Linked DNA regions of Canis lupus familiaris. The protein of the gene in region 1 purifies or fractionates together with the protein of each later gene. This does not show direct contact. Links are inferred from orthologs where the notes say so. Each region holds a gene or a part of one and is shown on either strand. Other genes may lie near its edges.

The links.
Region 2: the proteins of CAMLG (region 1) and TNFRSF13B purify together in Homo sapiens (affinity purification with western blotting; 3 studies listed by BioGRID and IntAct, with this or other methods). This does not show direct contact. The link is inferred for Canis lupus familiaris from reciprocal best matches to the Homo sapiens genes CAMLG and TNFRSF13B.

Annotation. Positions count from the first base shown.
Region 1 is NC_049232.1:22,828,463-22,839,401, reverse strand, and holds the start of CAMLG (calcium signal-modulating cyclophilin ligand), read right to left. Parts: upstream 6,930-10,939; 5' UTR 6,786-6,929; coding exon 6,614-6,785; intron 4,845-6,613; coding exon 4,384-4,844; intron 2,596-4,383; coding exon 2,530-2,595; intron 1-2,529. UniProt on the Homo sapiens protein: Required for the post-translational delivery of tail-anchored (TA) proteins to the endoplasmic reticulum.
Region 2 is NC_049226.1:42,693,905-42,702,878, reverse strand, and holds the end of TNFRSF13B (tumor necrosis factor receptor superfamily member 13B), read right to left. Parts: intron 7,026-8,974; coding exon 6,849-7,025; coding exon of another isoform or gene 6,664-6,848; exon of another isoform or gene 6,402-6,663; intron 6,366-6,401; coding exon 6,112-6,365; 3' UTR 6,099-6,111; intron 5,941-6,098; 3' UTR 4,568-5,940; downstream 1-4,567. Other genes in the region: USP22 (ubiquitin carboxyl-terminal hydrolase 22), read left to right, coding at 2,100-2,190. UniProt on the Homo sapiens protein: Receptor for TNFSF13/APRIL and TNFSF13B/TALL1/BAFF/BLYS that binds both ligands with similar high affinity. Mediates calcineurin-dependent activation of NF-AT, as well as activation of NF-kappa-B and AP-1.

The sequences.
Region 1 (10,939 bases):
AATAATAATAAAATAAATAAAATAAAATAAAATAAAATAAATAAATAAATAAATAAAATAAAATAAAATAAAATAAAATAAAATAAAATAGGTGCCTGGGTGGCTCAGTTAAGTGCCTGCCTTTGGCTCAGATCATGATCCCAGAGTCCCAGACTGAGCCCTGGAAGTAGGATTCCCTGTGCAGCGGGGAGCCTGCTTCTCCCTCTCTCTGTCCCTCCCTCTGCTTATACTCTCTCTATCTCTCTCAAATAAAATATTTTAAAATAAATAAATCTTAAAAAAGAGTTACAAGAAAATGTTTTGTTTAGAGAAAAGTATATATACTATAGTCTCCCTTCCTTTTCTCTCTCCCATTTACCTAACAACACATACACTCCTAGCACAAATAACCACTGTTAATAGTTTCATGTAACATTCCTCCAGAGTGTTTGGGGCACCTGGCTGGCTTAGTCAGTGGAGTGTGTGAATCTTGATCTCAGGGTTGTAGGGTTTTGTTTTTGTTTTTTGTTTTTTAAGTAGGCTCCTTGCCCAGTGTGGAGCCCAATGCACGGATCAAACTCAGGACCCTGAGATCAAGACCTGAGGTGAGAGGCACCTGGGTGGCTCAGTCAGTTAAGCACCTGCTTTCAGCTCAGGTCATGATCCCAGGGTCCTGGGATACAGTCCCATGCTGGACTCCCTGCTCAGTGGGAGCCTGCTTCTCCCTCTCTGTCTGCCCCTCTCCCCCCTGCTCATGCTCTTGCTCTCCTTCTCTCTCAAATAAATAAATAAAATCTTAAAAAAAAAAAGGGGGGACCTAAGCTGAGATAAAGAGTCAGACACCTAACTAACTGAGCCCCAAGGCGTCCCTCAGGGTTGTATGTTTGGGCCCCACATTGGCTGTAGAGATTACTTAAAAATAAAATCTTAAAAAAAAAAAAAAAGATTCTTCCAGTTTTACATATACACAAGCAATTATTTTCCACCTTTCGATGAAAAAAGTAGCATACTATAGATCCTATCCTGCATTTTTTCTTCTCTTAATATTTCTTGGCAGGCTTACCATTATCTATATATCAGAGCTTCATCATTCTAAACAGGCCAGAATTTAATGAGTCATTTATTAATAGACATCTTTGTTGTTTCCAAACTTTGCTATTGAAAAACTGTAACTTGGGACGCCTGGGTGGCTCAGTAGTTGAGTGTCTGCCTTTGGCTCAGGGTATGATCCTGGAGTCGCAGGATCAAGTCCCACATCAGGCTCCCTGCAGGGAGCTTCTCCCTCTGCCCATGTCTCCGCCTCTCTCTCTGGATCTCTCATGAATAAATAAATTAAATCTTAAAGAAGAAAGAAAGAAAAACTATAACCAATCTTTCAATAAATACATATTACCCCTCAAAATTAATTTACATATAAAATAAAATCACATTACTTTATTCTTTTACTTTATATATAAAACCTATTTGACTCTTCATAAATATAAATGTTTCAAACCCATTAAAAACACATATGAGGTCTATCAGTTCATTACAAATGACTAAGCAAATGACCATGAACCTGTTTTTCAGTTAAAAATTCACACAACACTCAATGACATAAGTGAGGTTACCCTCTATGCCAGCCAAGTCCCATAAAACTGTGTATACATTTGTAGTTAAGCAGACTAGGTAAACATGACACTCTCCAGGATTCTGTTCTGCAATTTTGGACAAGTATTTCTTGCAAATACCAGGCCCCTGACATTAAAGATAAAGTGTGTTGTTACTAGGTGTCCAATAAGGAGCACAGTAAGGTAATTTAACCCGTTTTAAAATTAATTTCTGGGATGCCTGGGTGGCTCAGAGGTTAAGCATCTGCCTCTGGAGTGATCCCAGGACTCCGGGATCACATCTCGCATCCGGCTCCCCACAGTGAGCCTGCTTCTCCCTCTGCCTCTCTGTTTCTCATGAATAAATAAATAAAATATTTTTATTTTTATTTTTTTAATTTTTATTTATTTATGATAGTCACACAGAGAGAGAGAGAGAGAGAGAGGCAGAGACACAGGCAGAAGGAGAAGCAGGCTCCATGCACCGGGAGACCAACGTGGGATTCGATCCCGGGTCTCCAGGATCGCGCCCTGGGCCAAAGGCAGGTGCCAAACTGCTGTGCCACCCAGGGATCCCTAAATAAAATATTTTTTAAAAATTAATTTCCTTTATTACAGATAAAATGTATTACTAAATTCACTAAGTAATTAAACTGAACACTTTTCAGACAAGTATTATTCAAACTCCATGGTTAAGTTTTCCCTCCAATCCACGGTGGACCAAAATTTTGTTAAATGTTAAGGCAACGTGGAATTGCTAAGAAGTTTCTAATCACTTGCTTTCTGAACTTGTTACAAACAAATAAATAGCTTTAAGATCAGCACTGGTGGGCCAAGGATACTTCTAGTAGCACTGATTCAGACCATGAGTATGACTAATTTTTTTTTTTAAGTTCTTAAAATTGTCAAATCATTAATCAGTCTAAATACATCACCATAATTTAGAAAAAGCTTAATTTACCTTGGGAAAATATTTGTATAGTCCCATGTACGCAAGTTGTAAAGTAAGAAACGGAGCAAATATGGACTGTGAAGATAGAAGATAAAATTATGTATTTCCAACATCATCATTTAAACCACAACAAATTAAACTAACAGCAACAATAAAATTCCAAGCAAAATAATATATATATATATATATATTTTAGAAGCTGAAAATAGTCTTGTTTCTGCTCAAGGGTGAAAAAAATAAAGGGAATGGATTTCCTTATCATAAAATATGTTTCTCAAGTCAAGTTACATTCTTTTGATGTCCCCCCAAAGTCTACTCTCGCAAAAATTTATTCTTTCAATGATTTAAAGTATTCAGAGGTGATATAGATGTATAATACATCATGCAGCAACATCTCTCTTGTCTAGAGGTAATTAACTGACAATTTCAAAGCACACATAAAAGACCCAGTATTCAATAGATGCCATACATTCCCAGACACTGTGGCAAGTAATGATCTCACTAGCTACATTGTTAAGCATCCAAATGGCAAGCTATTCTTACTATAGATAAAATGGAGTGGTTGTCTTGCTTCTCACACAATAAAATCGGAAAGGTCAAAACAATAATTAATTTACATTTATTCCTAAAACTAAAAATATTATGAAGGGAGTGAAGGAGTAAACATTAACAGATGAATGTATAATATAAGCAGTGAGAAGTAACAGCTGAAAATCTGATAGCAAAAAACCCCAGAAAACCAAAAAAACCTCACACAAAAATGAGGCACAAATATAGGACATAACTTTAAAATCCTAAAAACACATGGCCCTTTAGATAAGAAAAAGGAAAAAGGAAGCAGCCATACATCTCATTTTTAAATACTGAAAGCTATAATGACAATTTAACGTCAGAAAAAAAGTCTGTATGACAGATTCACTTTTTAAAAAATGTCCATTAAGTATATTTTTAAAACCTTTCTTGCTGTTTACTATAAACTTTAATTATCTGAAAAATTTGCTATGTGCAAATTGGGTACTGGGTAGATATTCTTAAAAAGTCTAGTGAATGAAAGTTCTTCCAAAAGCAAGACACAGGGATCCCTGGGTGGCGCAGCTGTTTGGCGCCTGCCTTTGGCCCAGGGCGTGATCCTGGAGACCCGGGATCAAATCCCACGTCGGGCTCCCGGTGCATGGAGCCTGCTTCTCCCTTCTGCCTGTGTCTCTGCCTCTCTCTCTCTGTGTGTGACTATCATAAATAAAAAAAAATTAAAAAAATTAAAAAAAGCAAGACACAGAAATATGAGCTATGATTTTCTTCATTTCTCCTGGCGAGTGAAGTGAAGGCGTGGTGAAGATGGACTGCCATCACGATGATACTACAACATTATAAAATGCTGAAGTGCTTGGTGAATCACAGGAAATTTACATCATGTTCAGGACCACAGGGACTGCATTTTAAGGTTTCAAATTATTTAAATAGTAGTAATTAATATATGATACATGTAGATACTTTACCCTTTGGTTTTGGAAAGAAATTGCCTGCATTAAAGCCCAGCTGTCATTTAGTAGCTATGTGACCTTGGGCAAATGACTTAACCTCTGAGTCTTCATTTCCTCATCTATAAAACACAGTCAGAAGGATGAGGTTCAAGGAGTTTATATATGGAAAGCACTCAGAATGCTGCCTAGAATACAGAGTTAAGTAATTATTATTGGGCTCTGTATTCAACCAGAACATTTCATCTATATCTAGGGGGAAGAGCAGTGTAATAATATATCTCAAAACAGCCATATTAATCTGGTAAATATTAATACCGGCAATCAACTCCATGGATCAAAAGCACTCATTATATAGCCAATCTGCATTTTCCATGTTTCTTACCAAGTATTTGCAAACAAAAGCTCGGACTCCAAAGGCAAGAAGAGCACATCCCACCAATCTAAAGATTCGAAAAGAGTCAAATTCTTCTGTTGTATTTCCATCTTCTTGATTGGGTTTTTCACTAATCAGCTGTTTCCGTAACTTCATTGCTTCTTCAAATCTGGACAGGTACTGTTCAAGGCCATGGCGTGAACCCCGCTGAACAGTGTCTGCTGTCAGGTCCCCTCTGTTCCGCTGCCGGAGCTCAAGATTTACATCATTACTGCACTCAGGTGGTTTAATGAAAGAGTCCAACTTGTCTCCCAGCTGAGTCCCCTTTACCTCGGCCACACCACTTTGCTGGTCAGTTGTTCCTATACTGACCGAATCGCCCAGCACTACTCTCTTTGAAACTGAAGGAATGCTGAGGGAGTTCAGTTTGTCACTGTCCTGCTGCTTTGATTTTGTCTGACTTTCTTCTTCTGAGAAAAGAAATTTAGAAGCCTTATGGAGTGTATACTGGCAAACAGCTCTTATATTAATATTAAAAAATATGCCGCTGCTAGAACTCTGCAGTCTCTGAATCTAAACACTGATTCTGCGTAAAACATAAACTAGTTTCTTCCTCTACACCCCCAGAAGAGTATTCTGGCAGAGGATACAACCCAAATTCTGGGAGTAGAAGATAAGACTAGCAGACAAATTGGGCAAGATGGTCATGGAGATGGAGCAAGCTATACAGACCAGGTTTTCATGGATAATATATCCCAGAAGAATGACTGCATTGCCTGCTGTAGCTTATTTGATTAAAATCATTAAAGCTTTTACAAATCTGTACTTTAATATCACATTTCTGAACCCAGAATCTGGTCAGCATAGGGTGTGGCATACCCTACAGCTACTGTTTACGTAATCCTTCTACTGTAGTGAGGGAGCCATTAGTAGGTAATTAAGCAATTTGAGGATGCTGTTCTGCTTCCAAAGCAAAACAAAAGCTTTAGTGATAGAATTATCATAATTAAAGAACAAAATATAGAATATAACTTGAGAAGGACAATAAATGTCTTGGGAAATAATAAATACCTGCTGTCTGTTATTAAAGGGAGAAATGCGTCTAACTATTGTTCTAGGATAATCTGAAATAGTGCTCCTTACCTTCCCTGGTAGTTTTGGCTGTGAACCTGCAAACTATCTAAGTGTTCAGGACTGACTATCAGAAGCCCACAGAAATCACAAAGCGTTCAGTAGCTTGCAAATACTGAGTAAAGGTCAATTACTAAAGAAGCTCCATGGAAACTTAAGAGAACACTAGCACATACTACATGTTCAATAAATATTCACATGAATATTCATTGAATTGTACACGCACTGGGGGAGAAATGAGGAACTCTCTTTCGGGTTAAACGCGGTTCCTGACTTCAATCACATCAATCTCAGCAAATTGGGAGAAAAGACCTGGGGGTGGGGGTGGGGGTGGGGCACGTCCCACTTGTTGGGGTAAAGAATGGTCACTCAGTTTTATCTGTTTAGAAAGCCTGAAGAGGACAGTGTTGAGAGCACTGGACACAGGCACCAGGATAGATGACCACGTAGGAAGGACTGGGGGAGCAGGTAAATAAACACAGGCTCCGGGGGGCGGACAGAGCAACAGCGAAAGGCAAAAGAAGGTAGACAGACGCTATGGCAAAGGCACTGGAAGGAAAAGCATTTCGAAGGGAAAGAACCGAAGAGCAATTTTACCGAGGGACATAACAGGCAGAGCGGTGCAACCGGGGACAGAAGGGAGAGCGTGGGGAATGAAGCTGGGGGTGTCTGGCATAACGGGCCAGAAGGCGCCAAGGCGGAGGCGCCAAGGCTTCGCAGCCTGGGGCGGAGATGGGGACAAGCAGAGCGAAGCCCGCACAAAACGGGGGAAACGTGTGTGTGTGTGGGGGGGGGGGGGGGGGGGGGGTGATAAGTGAGAACTTGGGACATCACCTAAAAAGAGGGGACAGACGGGCACCTGGGTGGCTCAGGGCGTGATCCCAAGGAGCCTGCTTCTCCCTCTGCATCGGTCTCTGCCTTTCTCTCTGGGATTCTCATGAATAAATAAAATCTTAAAAAAAAAAAAAAAAGTCCGGGACAGAGGGAAGGTCAGAGAGCAAGGCTCTGTCAAAAAGGCCAGCGGGGCGCTGGAGGGAAAGAGAGCAGGAATGGCCCTGGAGACTCAAAGCGGCGGGCGGGAGAGTAAGGGGAGACGGGAGGCTCTCACCCGCGCCACTCCCGGGCCTGTGAAAGCCCATGATGCGGTTGATGCGCTGCTCCGAGTTCATGAGCAGCTTCCTCCGCCGCAGCTCCGCACGACGCTGGGAAGCCGACAGGCCAGAGGTCGCTGGAGCTCCCGGCCGGTCGCCGCTGTCAGACGCGACAGTCAACGGCTCCATCTTCCCCACCAACACCAGGGAACGCTGAAGGTGTTGCTGGCAGCGGCAGCCGAGCCGCAGATGACTTCAGGCCAGGCCGCAGGGTACGAGCGCACCACCGCCCCCCCACCCCGCCGTAGACCCGCCCCCGAGCGCCAAGCCAGACAGGCGTGCTAGGCATGCGTGCCATCCGACCGGACAAAGCGCGAGGCTTGCGCCGCCATCTTGAATGAGGGCAGTCGGGCGGGGGGCGAAGCGTGGGGGAGGTACGAAGCGTTGGGGGAGGTCCTCCTCCCTGGGCTAGCCCTCGTGGCCACTCTCCCAGGCCACCGGGCTTCTCTACTGTTACCTCGAAAGTGAAGAAAATTAGCCCCCAGGCTGAAAAGAAGGAAAGGAAGGAGGGCAAGGCCCCAACCCACCAACGGCTGGTGCCCAAAAGCAAAATGGAGGCTATTGCGCCAGGCACTTGTTTCTAGTGACCGTCTGCGACCTCGCTTCTAAACGACGGAAATACGTCAGTAGGGAGCGACGCTTTAGAGAGAGTTGCGTTTAGGATGTGTTCTTGGCGCAGGTTTATTCTTTCTCCTCAGTCGCTCTTCTCCCAAATATTTATCTTACGTGTTTCTGGCCTTCTTCACGTCTTTGTTCAGGGTTGTCCCAGTGGAGATTTCCCTGTCCATTCTGTTTAAATTGCCACCCTTCTCAAGACTCCATATTCCCCTTACCTGCCTTATTTTTCTTAACAGTTACAACTGACTTGCATGCTAAATGTACTTATTTTGAATGTTTCTCATTAGATAGAATGTAGGCTCCATGAAGACAAGCATTTTTTTTTATTTTTATTTTTTACAATCCTGAGGTCTTTTATTTTCTTTACAGTTATCATGCCATGAATTCATAGGGAATGGGTTCCAGCAGTTCAGGCTCCTTTCCATTGGTTCTCACAAAGTGTGCTTCTCTGGGTGGGGCAGGCTGGCGCTTCAGTAGGACCCAAGTACCTTTCTCTTTGGCTTCCTTCTTTTTCTGATCATTTTCCTTCACACGCTTCAGGAAGCTACCTCGGCTCTTTGAGTGTTTAATATGCTCAATGCGGACATTAATTCTCTTGGCAAGAATCTTGCCCTTAACTTGTTTGTTTACAACAATGCCAACAGCATGCTGAGTAACACTGTAGACCCTTCCAGTTTTGCCATGGTAACATTTGTGGGGCATTCCTTTTTGAACAGTGCCCATTCCCTTGATGTCCACAATATCCCCTTTCTTATAGATTCGCATGTTATGTGGCCAAAGGAACAACTCTATGTTTTCTAAAAGGCCTAGAGAACATATAGCGGGTACCTCTCCTCTTTCCCTTTGTGTTGGTCATTTTGGCAAATTACTGGAAGATGGAGGTTCCGGCCGAAAGGCACAAGCATTGCATTTTGTTGGGAACTGCAACTCCTGGAATAGCATGAGCACTCAGCAGGGCCAAGTTATTCAAGGCAGCGTTGAGGACCACGGTAGCGGGAGGGACCCGAGAAAGTGTGTTTTATTAAAGTCAGAAGAAAGGTGTAATGACAATTAATATATAATAATAAATCTAGGGGGGATCCCTGGGTGGCGCAGCGGTTTAGCGCCGCCTTCAGCCCAGGGCGCGATCCTGGAGACCCGGGATCGAATCCCCACGTCGGGCTCCCGGTGCATGGAGCCTGCTTCTCCCTCTGCCTGTGTCTCTGCCTCTCTCTGTGTCTCTCTTGCATAAATAAATCTAAAAAAAAAAAAAAAAGAAAGAAAGAAAGAAAAGAGGAGCCAAGGTATAAACACGGACTTTCTCCCTTGATTGGATAAAAGCTAAATCGCAAGGACACACCCTATTTAATAATTATGAAGCACTAGAAAAGGTTGCCCTGCCTGTATGTACAGAACTATATCTCTAAGCCAGTTTTTTTTAAACTTCTAAAACTGAAGTAATTGTTAAGCATAATAACGTACAGAACAAAAAAACAAATGTACAGAACATAATGACATAAAAAATTGATGAACCAAAACTAAATATAATTCCAGGATAAACTATTTTTTTCATTTAATAGACCCTATAGAAGCAAAATTTAAATTTTGTCTGTGTCGATGCATGATAGTGCCCTTAGTTTGCTAAGGATTCAAAGTGTGAGGATTTTATGTTACATGCTCACTTATCTCTTGGGAACCACTTCCCTGTGGGGTTTCTGTAGTTTGATTAAACTGCCTAGTACTTCTCCATGGTATAAAGGATTCTTTGATAAATGGTGTGAATACTTAAGATTCTTATATTAATTTCTATTACCCTCATTATGGACTTTACAAGGGCATACCCACTCATTTTTTTTTAAATTTACCACTTTCCTGAGTGCCTGGATGGCTCAGTTGATTAAGCGGCTGTCTTAAGTGGCTCAGTTCATGATCTCTGGGATTGAGTCTGGTATGGGGCTTACTGATCAGCAAGAGTCTGCTTCTCCCTCTGCCCTCTTCCATGCTCCTGTTCTCTCTCAAATAAATAAAATGTTTTTTTTTAAAAATTTACCACTTTGCCCCAAACCTATAGCAAAGCACTGATAGCACTAGGTCAAACCTTTATGAATAGTTGCAAAAATCTTTAAAATTTTACTATTTATTATTTTTTTAGAGATTTCATTTATTAGAGAAGAGAGAGAGAGAGAGAGAATGAATGAGTGGGGGGAGGAACGGAGGGAGAGAGACAAGCAGACCCCATGCTAAGTGCAGAGCCAAATGCCAGGCTTATCCCATGACCTGAGATCATTACCTGAGCTGAAATTAAGAGTTGGACACTTAACCAATTGAGCCACCCAGGCATCCCTCTTTTAGTTTCAATTTTTGTTTTAGGGATCCCTGGGTGGTGCAGCGGTTTGGCGCCTGCCTTTGGCCCAGGGCATGATCCTGGAGACCCAGGATCGAATCCCACATCGGGCTCCCAGTGCATGGAGCCTGCTTCTCCCTCTGCCTGTGTCTCTGCCTCTCTCTCTCTCTGTGTGACTATCATAAATAAATAAAAATTAAAAAAAATTTTTTTTGTTTTATTAAGCAGGCTCCAAGCTGGCATGACCCTGAGATCAAGACCTGAGCTGAAAGAGTCAGATACTTAACTCACTAAGCCACTCAGGCACCCCAAAGAAATCTTTCTTTTAGAGGAAGTGTCAAAATAAGGCATTTTCAATTAGTTTCATGTATCATTTTTTAAATTTTTATGTAGCATTGTTTAGGCAGGTTAGCAATAATACTTTATTGATAACATGTAATACGAAGTTGAAGAGATTGAGTCAGAAAGTGATGAAACTAGAATTCAATTTCTGGGGTGAAATTTAGGTAGGAAGTTCATGCTCAGATCCCTCTTTACACAGAAATAACAGCTAGAAATATGAAGGGAGAAAAAGAAATAGCAAGACTAAAAAACAGGGGGTACCTGGTTGGCTCAGTGGTTTAGCATCTGCTTTCAGCTCAGGTCATGATCCCAGGGTCCTGGGATGGAGTTCCGCATTGAGCTCCCCACAGGGAGCCTGCTTCTCCCTCTGCCTATGTCTCTGCCTCTCTCTGTGTCTCTCATGAATAAATAATTTTTTAAAAACCTCAAAAACAAGAGAAACATCTTAGCAGATAAAAAGTATCAGAAACAGCATCGCAGAGCTAAACAAGTCAGGTGCCTATGGGGCTGCAGGTCTAGAGGCAGGCAACAGTAGCACGTTCTAGGGGCTAAAAGCCACTGAAAGTCCTCCACACAACACACAGAGACAAACAGGTTGAACTCACTTCTTGAGGCCTTCCCTCCCTCCAAAAATATTCAAAGTATCATTCACTATTGACCCACAAAGTTTTGGACTTCAACTTTTAATCTGGGAGGCAGAAGAAGGCAACAACTAGTCTTCCCACTGCTGGTGACTGAAATGGTGATTTCAGTCAAATCACTGCAGCACAGAAGCCCAAAAACACCACTATGAGCCCTCGTTTTGGGGAAAGGGCTAGAAAATATGACTAAAAACACCCATAGATAGGTGAAGGGGCTTGGATAGAGACAAGCTAAAACAAAAACAAAAATTCTCCCACTCAGGGCAGCCCGGGTGGCTCAGCGCTTTAGCGCCACCTTCCGTCCAGGGCATGATCCTGGAGACCAGGGATTGAGTCCCATGTTGGGCTCCCTGCATGGA
Region 2 (8,974 bases), on another chromosome or scaffold:
AGAGATGAGCACTAGTTGGGGCTCTGCACTCACTGAGGGTGCTCCTCGGGCTGGTGGTTCTTTTGAGCCCTCTGGCCCCTCCGTTGTAGGATGAGAAGAGGCAGAGTTTAAAATGGGTGGTTGGGAAACACTCCTCCCCAATCCTGACATCTGAGGAGTCTAGAGATTTTTTTTTCTCCCTGCTTCTCCTGATGGTGATACCAGTCAGTCATGAATGGATGTCCATGCCAGTGGCTAAGAGAGAAAGATGAAATGTAAATAAGTTGCATTTCTATAGAGTGTTCAAACTAGTAGAGTTTAACAGTGATCCCATTGGGCTCCTGAATTCACTCATTTGGCAACTATTTGACGCCCTGTATCATTCAGGGCTTGTACTGTTGTGGACATCAGGAGCGAGCCCACAGTCCTGTGCTCACGGAGGGTACAGTCAGTGTGGGGGACACACATATACGTCAGACTGTGCTGAGCTCTGCGTAGAGAGGCTGGGGGCCAGAGCGCGACAGCAGTGGGTGTGCTGTTTACACAGGTGGTCAAATAGCTCTTCAATAAGACAACCTCCCAGCAGAGTCCTGAAGGAAGTAAGAAACTGAGCACAGGCTATCAGAGGTAGAACATTCCAGGTAAAAGGAACAGCGTGTCCTTGAAGATGGGAAGATGAAGGCTCAGAGGGACACCTTAGCGAGCTCCCTTGGCTCCACTGTTGAATCCAGCCCACGCCGTGGTTTCCCGTCAATTCTAAAAGCCAAGTCTGGAAGGCTTGGGGGAGAGACACTGTGTGACCACTGCCACCTCTGACCTATGCTGTGGCCTGCTTCTCCTGAGCAGCCAGTGGAAAAATTCCTCCTGGTCTCCAGCCAGGATTTTTCATGCTTTCCATGCCGATGCATTCATGTGGTTTCTCTGCCTTGTCAGGGGCATGTCACCGCATGCTAAGATGCAAGTTCCAGCTTCTCTAATGTTTTCACTTGTGATTTAAACTTTCTCTGTGGTACAGTCCAGTGATTAAGAGACAGGATGTGGAACCAGGCTGCCTGCACACAAATCCTGGTTCTGGGTACCTTTGGGTGAGCTACTTAAACTCATCTAGAAAATGGGGGACACTACTAGTATCCTCTCATAGGATTATTATATGGAAAAAATTTGAGTTAATATGTGGAAAGTGCTTAGAAAAATGCGTGGCATGTAGTAAGACTTACATAAATAATTTTTAAAACCCTAAACCTGAAAGCCAAGCTTGGGGCTCTTGGGATCTGTGGTGTGCCTTCTGACTCACAAGGAAAAATGCATACCAAGCCCTTATGTCCATTTCCTAGCATATGTTTGGTATTTTTCCTTTGATGAATCTATAAATGAGGGAGTGTCAACAAAAATTAGGAAGGAGAAACAAGGTATTTTGCTAAGCAGATGGTGGACCTGTCCCTGGTCTCTTGGAAAGAGATCAAATGTCAGGCTGGTGGGTGATATGGCCCGTTTTAGGACCAGACCACTGGTTCTTCACCTGGAGCCACTTGGGAGCCTAAAAAGCCTCTGGATGCCTGGCCCTCCCCATTCTTGAGAATCTGATTTAATTGATCTAAAGTGTGGTGCAGGCATCTGGAGTTTTGGGAGTTTTTTTTGCAGATTTTTCCCCCCAGGGATTCTCATGTTCAGCTAAGGCTGAGAACTGCCGGCCCAGATAGCTCATGTAAAATACCAAGAGCCAGAGAAGCACAGCTGGAGGAAATCTCTCCCTTCCCTATCTCCTTTGTACCAAAAATTAATTTTGAGAAGTTTCCAAAATCATTTCTCTGAGATTTCTGAGATTTTAAGAAATCAGGGAAAAGAGAAACTGCTGGGGGTGGGGGGAGGGGGCTCTGAGAAGATGGCATTTGAGCTGACTTTTGCACAATAGGAGTACCCCCTCCATGCCTGGGTGGCTCAGCGGTTGAGCGCCTGCCTTCGGCTCAGGGTGTGATCCCAGAGTCCCAGGATCGAGTCCCACATTGGGCTCCTTCCATGGAGCCTGCTTCTCCCTCTGCCTATGTCTCTGCCCCTCTCTCTGTGTCTCTCATGAATAAGTAAATAAAATCTTTTTTTTTTTTTTTTTTTTTTTTAAAAAGGAGCACCCCCTCCAACCTGGGTGAAGATGCAGGGAAGCACATTCCTGGTAGAGGGAACAGCAAACGCAAAGGCCTCAGGGCAGGAGGATGAGGGTGAGTGGGGCTGCAGGGTGGTGGGTGCCCTGGAGTGTGATATGAGCTGAGTTTGAGAGGAGGCCAGGGGCCAGAACACATGGGCTCAGAGGCCCCTGTAAAAGGTGGAGATTTTGTTCTGTGTCAAGAACCCATGAGAGAGTTTTAAGCAGTGAAAAGACACGATGTCATTGATATTTTTATAAGATCACCCTGGCTTCCAAGGCCACCTAGGAAGGAGAAAGCCAGAGAGAAGGCCACTCCTTCCCAAATGATAATATAGCTGGATAATCCACAAAACTATATCTTCTCTGAGCCCATCTGTGAGCTAAAGTTGCAGGGCAACCGACTAGCCTGGAGTCTAAGGAAGGCAGGTGCCTCCAAGGAGAGAGGGGACATGAACAGTGGCCACCTGTGGCCAAGTGCAAGGAAGAAGGCAAAGCTGCCATGAAAATGGGCAAGAGCAAGTCCTCCCATGATTTGAAGGCTTGCATGAGAGCACAGAACTTCTGGGAAAGTCAAACAAGTGGAGTTGATACCCACTTGCAGGTGCTTCTCCACAGACTTCCACTGGACCTCATAAAAACCAGGCACCAGGCAGGGACCACAGGAAGCCTCTATCAGAGGAGCAGGCGTGGGGCCCTGGCTGCTGGAAGTATTCACAGCCCCCCAGACTCTTCTTTCCCAACAAACCAAAGCTGGGGAAGGGGCTGTGAACTCAGGATACAGATGATATACCCACTGTGGGCAGTAGGAAGGCAAATACCCTCTACTCTATCTAGGGGCAGGAAACTGTCCATTCCCAGGGGAGGGAAGCATCACGGGAAAAGGCTCAGCCCCTCAGCCCAGGAACATGGCCTGCCTGACACCAGGATGGAAGGTGGCTCCGCCACCCGTCAGATGGGCCAGCACCAAGTGATGTAATGGTAGACTTACCACCTACAGAGAGCAAAGAATGGAGAAAGAGCCTCTTTAGGCAGTGGCACACAGGGAAGGTGTAAAGCCGAGTTCATAGCAGGAATATCACCAGCCCAGCCACCCCCTGCCACCAAGAACATGGTAACACCAGGGCACTTTGCAGCTAGCAAGGCACAAAAGGTGACTGTAACAACAAAACCCAAACCCAGCTCAGCTCCTAGCTTGGCTGACTTGACTGCTCACACTGACAGCCTGGCAGGAGAAGAGGTGTGCCCATTTGCAGGCATCCCTACCTCTTCCTTCTGTCTGACTGCTGCCCCACACAGATCCGGCATTCCTTAAAGGAATACAAGACACACAAGTGAGCAAGTGAAAACAATGCACTGCTGAGAGACAAATCACTCCACAGAGCCAGGGTCAGAAGTGATCTGGACGTTGAAGCTATTAGGCAGGGATTTGTAATAGGGTGGGCTTGGCAAGTATGGCCTGAGGTTCGAATCTGGCCTGCCTCTTGTTTCTAGAAGTAGTTTTATGCAACACAGCCATCCTTGCTTGCTCGATACTGTCTATGGCTGAATGGACCCTACAGTGGCAGGGCTGAGTAACCGTCCGGCAGCCGTAGCAGGAACCGAATGGTCCTGAAGCCCAAGATACTCACTTTCTGATACTTTTCAGCAAAGCTTGCTGAGCCCTGGGCTGGGGGACAGGGAGGTGACAGAGAGGCCAGGGGACGCTGGTGCACTCACCCAGGGGAGCAGTGACAGGAGCCTGCCTCCACGCCTGTGACAAGTGGCAGGAGTCAGAATAGATGCTTCAGATAGAACCAACAGAATTTTATCCAGAGCATGTATAAAATGGACAGTATTTAGAGTTTCAGATTTACTGTCTACCAACGAGATCCCTGTATTAAAACACATATGTGCAAGCATGTGCGCACGCATGCGCACACACACACACACACACACACACCAAAGAGCAATCAAATGACTGACAAAAAACAAGATAAGTTTGGTCTGATGGCTGCCAGGATCGGACACTCAGCACCTTACGTTTTCAGCAGCCCTGACTCCCCGCCCCCACAGTACCAGAAACATCCCCTAGAGTCTCTGGGTTTGGATGGGTAGAGCTGGAAAACTTGAGAAGAGGTAGAAAGCCGCACACCTTCCAAGGGAGCCTTCCCGCCTAAGCGGCACCTGTGAGGTTCCCAAGTGTGCCATTATCTTGTCACCACGCTGGGACATCTACACCAGCTACAGGGCTTTAGTCTCAATCCTGTAATAGGATCAGCTACTGGCAAGGACATGGCTGTAGGAAACACTGCAGCCAGGGCGTCACCACTTGCCCTGTGGGGCTGACTGTGCCACAGACACGTGTCTTGGGCAGACACTTTTTAGAAGCCAACTTGCTTGTCATAAAGATGAAGCAGAGGTGGGCTTGGGGCAGGGCCTGTGTTATGGGCTGAATGATGTTGTCACACACCCCCCCCCCCCCCCCCGGCAGTTCATGTGTTAAAGCCCTAACCCTCAGTTCCCCAGAATGTGACCTTATTTGGACTTAGAATCTTGAGGTGATCAAGTTAAATGAGGGGTGGGGGTGAGCCCTAATCCCATATGACTGGTGTCCTTGTACAAAGGATAGAATTTGACTCTAGACACAGAGAGGAAGATGCAGGCCAAGCATAGTGGCCCTGAACAGATGGTTCCCTTGCGGCCTTCAGAAGGAAGCAGCTCCTGCTGGCACCTTGATTCCAGATGGCACACCTGGAGAAGTGGGGAACAGCGACTTTCGCCTTTAGACTACCCAGTGTGTGCTACTTTGTTACAGCTGCCTCAGGAAGCCGGGACAGCCTGTTAGCCCTTGGAGGGTGGACAGATGGAGCATCAGGCACCCTGTCTACACCTCCCAAAGTGTGTTATGTGAACCTCTGGTGCACGTAGCTGTGCAAGGTAATGTTGGGTGGCACAGGATGAATCATTTTAATTTACACAATTGTGTATTTCTCTTACTGTGTAAATGCTTCTAAGAATCATTATGCATTTTCAGTGCCACTGAAATATAGATTTCAATGCTACTACAAATAGAAAATATAGGTAACATTGAAAATGTGTGGATGCTCAGATATTCTTAGTGTTATCACTTATAAAATTCAGCATGAGATTAAAGTAGGGCTAGAAGAAAAGGGGAGTTAATATAAAGAATATTAAGCCATGAGACGTGCAGGTTGGTAGCTAGGTGAGGCCAAAGGTGCCTGCAAATGAGAAGGCTCCTGGGGAGGGGGGCAGGCAAAGAGCCTCGGGCTCAGAGCAGCTTGGCGCCCTGGGCTCAGCCTGCACCTTCCTGTCCACCCCTAGCCCACTACACACACACACACACACAGATGCACACACACACACACACACGTTGCACCATGCTTCACCATGCCTAAGGAGGCACAGTGGGGACTTTGTTTCAGAAAAGAAATGCAGGTGTGCCCAGCCCTCCTGTAGAGGCACACTGGCTTCGCTCCATCCTTTGGCTTTCCCTCTTAAAAGAAAGCGCACAGCAGAGTCCCGTGTGTGCTCGCTGCCTCCCACCGGCACCGGTCACCGAGCTCGGCGGGTCCTGAGCCTGGTGGGGACCGTCAACTCGCAGGTCTTCGGAAACCAGGCGGCTGCGCTGCGGTGGAGCCTTGAGCCCAGGGAGGCGAGCGGGAGAGGTGGGACCTCCAGAGTCACCGCAGGGGAGACACGACCGAAAGCAGGGATAGGGAGGAGTGGGCAGCCCGAGAAGGTTTTATTTCTAAGGAAGGGCTCCTGGGGGCTGAGTCCGGCAGGCAAGGATGACTTCACTGCAGGTATGCAGGGGTGGTGACCTGCAGTGGACACGTGGGATAAAGACGGTGACCGACCTGTTCCCCGCCTCCCTCCGCATCTCTCTTCCCTCCCCCTGTCTCAACCCTCCCCTTCCCTCTCCACCCTCCCCTCCCTCCCCACCTCTTCCCCCTCCGCCCCAGCCGTCCCCCAGGCTCACCCTGCCCGCGTCGTCAGGCAGCGGGGCCTCCCTCCTGGGCGGGGGCGCACAGGACCTCGAGGCCGCGGTCCGGGGCGCGCGCGCAGGGCCGAGCGGGGGCGCTGAGGCCGAGGAGCCCGCGCCGGCCCGAGGGCGCCGTGTCGGGGGTCCCGGGCGCGCCCGCGCTCTCCTGGGTGGGCTGCCTGCGCTCCGGGAAGCAGAAGCTGCACGTCTCCACCGGCTCTGGCGGCGACGCGCCCGTGGCGCTCCCCGCTTCCATCCAGTGATCTGCGGGAAGGGCGGAGGGCGATGGCCTTGGCCTTGGCCCCCGCCCGTCCTCAGCGCCCTGCCCTGCCCCAGGGGACCCGCGGCCGGCTGGGCTGTCGGCCAGTTGGGCTCCCCGCGGTCAGCGGACTGCCGGCTCGCCCACTCCCCAGCGCCAGCTGCCTTTCTGCTGGGAAGGAACAGGTTTCGCCCCTTGGCCGACCACCCCTAGGCCCCCCAGGGGGACCACCTCCTCCAGGTTTCAGCCCGGAAGCCCTGTGCGGGGCCAAGCCGGCGGCCGGCAGCCCACATCCACGCTTCCTCAGGTCTTGATGTGAACTGATCTCACCAGACAGAAAAAGTACTGCAGGGATGTGCCCCAGGCCTTTGTCAGGAAGGGCTGGCAAACTGCTGTCCTTTTGGAAGCAGGGCCAGTGCCAGGACAGAAGGCCGACCAGCAGATTGTCCCACAGGCCCCGGGAGTCTGAGGGCCCGATCTGTGCTCACCCTTGGAGGACTTGGCCTGGGTCCGGCATGGTGCTGGTGAGGGCTGGCAAGAGAATTGGTCCCCTCTCCTCTTGAGGAAGCAGGCCACCGCCAGGATGAAGCAGCAGATGATGGCACAGAGGCAGAGCCCCAGAGTGCTGTAGACCAGGGCCAACTGTTCGGTGCTCAGCTTCAGCCCTGAGGGGTGCCACAAAGCTCCCGTGAGGCACGAGATTGGGAGGGGCTCTCCACCACCCAGGGCCCTTCTCTGAAGTGTCCCTGCAGGCTAGCAGCCCCTTGTCCTGCAATCTTTCTTTTCCCTCATTGAGCCCAAGCAAGCCACATGGCCGTCCCATCCACCTGCCCCCTTGGAGGGCAGAGCCCTCAGCCCCAGCATGCTGTCCACCTGTCTGGCTCCTGGAGAAGTTGATTCCCGGCCTCACTCAGGCTTGCCTGGTGTGGACCCTTCTCTAGACTCTGGAGACAATCAGCCCCCTCTACCCCAGGCTGGTAGCAACTTCTTCTAAGAGCTCAGAGCTGGACACCTCTGGAGCTGGCTCTGTGTGCCATCTGCTCTTTCCCATAGGACCTAGATCGGGCCAGTACCAGAGGTGGATGGATAAGTGAAGAGACAATAGTCCTGGGCAGATGACTCTGCCCTGACCTGGGCCTTCCTCCAAGAGGTGGCCTTCCTGGGGAAGCAGACTTCGAGAGTGGGACAGGTCCAGTTGCTAATGAATCTGGGATAGCAAACCAGGAGGGCCCAGGAGAACTGGGGTGCTGGTCACCCCACTTCTCAGGGTCTTGAGCCTCTGGTTTGGATGCCAGAGGAAGACTCAGCTCCAAAGCCCTCCCCTTGAAATTTTTCCTGGCCCCTGGAATCAGGGCACCCCCTAGGCCCCAGGTGGAAGGACAGATGGGCCAGAGTCAATACATGTATGTAATACACTGATGATGTGGATGACCCCCTGAGCCCTTACTACGTTACTACGTGCAGGCCCTCTGGGGAGTGGCCCCCGTGATTCCTCTGCTCCTGGGAAGGAGGATTGATGACTCCACCTTTGGGTATTGAGATAGAACTCATATGCATCAAATTCTTCATTCTAAAGTGAGCAACTCAGTGGGTTTTAGTATATTCACGAGGTTCAGTAACCGTCACCACCATCTGATTGGGAGAAGTTTCCATTACCTGTGAACTCACTAGTAGTCACTCTGAATGTCCCTTGCCCCAGACCCTGACAGCCCCTAATCTACTGTCTCTGTGATATCTATTCTGGGCATTTCATATGAATGGAATCATACAAGTTGTGTCCTTCTACATCTGGCTGCTTTCGCTGAGCATGTTTTCAAGGCTGATCCACACTGTCGTGTGTGGCAGGACTGTACTCCTTCCTATGGCTGAATCATGCTCCATTGTATGGTCATAACATGTTTAGCCGTTCATCTGCCGATGGACGTGTGGGTTGTTGCCATGTTTTGCTATTGTGAATAGTGCTGCTGTGAACATTTGCATGCAAGTTTTCATGCAGACACATGTTTTTAGTTTTCTTGGGTTATACCTAGGAGTGGAATCTCTGGGTCAGATGGTAATTCTCTGTTTAAGTTTTTGGGGAATGTCCAGCAGTGGCTGCACCATTTTACATTCCATTTTGCAGGTGACAAAACCGATTCAGAGTCACACTGTTCCTGGTCACAGATGCCACTGGGAGTAGGTCTGATGGGCTCTGGGCCAGTGTTCTGGGCTGGCCACACAGAGGCAACGAGAAGGACACCACTCCCTACACACGTGCCTCAGAATCCCGAGTTTTATAAAGTGACAGAACTGGCAGGTGCCACCCCGACATTTACAGAGGGAGAACAGGGGCTCTGGGCAGTGCTGTCCTTTGTGCCCCTTGCCCAGAGCTCAAGAAGGCCATGGGGCAGGGGGAAGCAAAGGACCCCCAGCAGGGCACACCCACTATACTCGGGTGCTACAGATCTGGAGACCAAGGCCCTCAGAGGAAAAAGGAAGCAGGGAAGGGTCATAGGGCAGAGGGCAGAGCCAGGAAACCGTTCCCATTTCCCAACTTCCAGGTCTTTCTGTCTGTCTACTGCTCCTACTCGCCTCTGACACAAAATGACATCAGATCACTGAATCCACAGGGGAG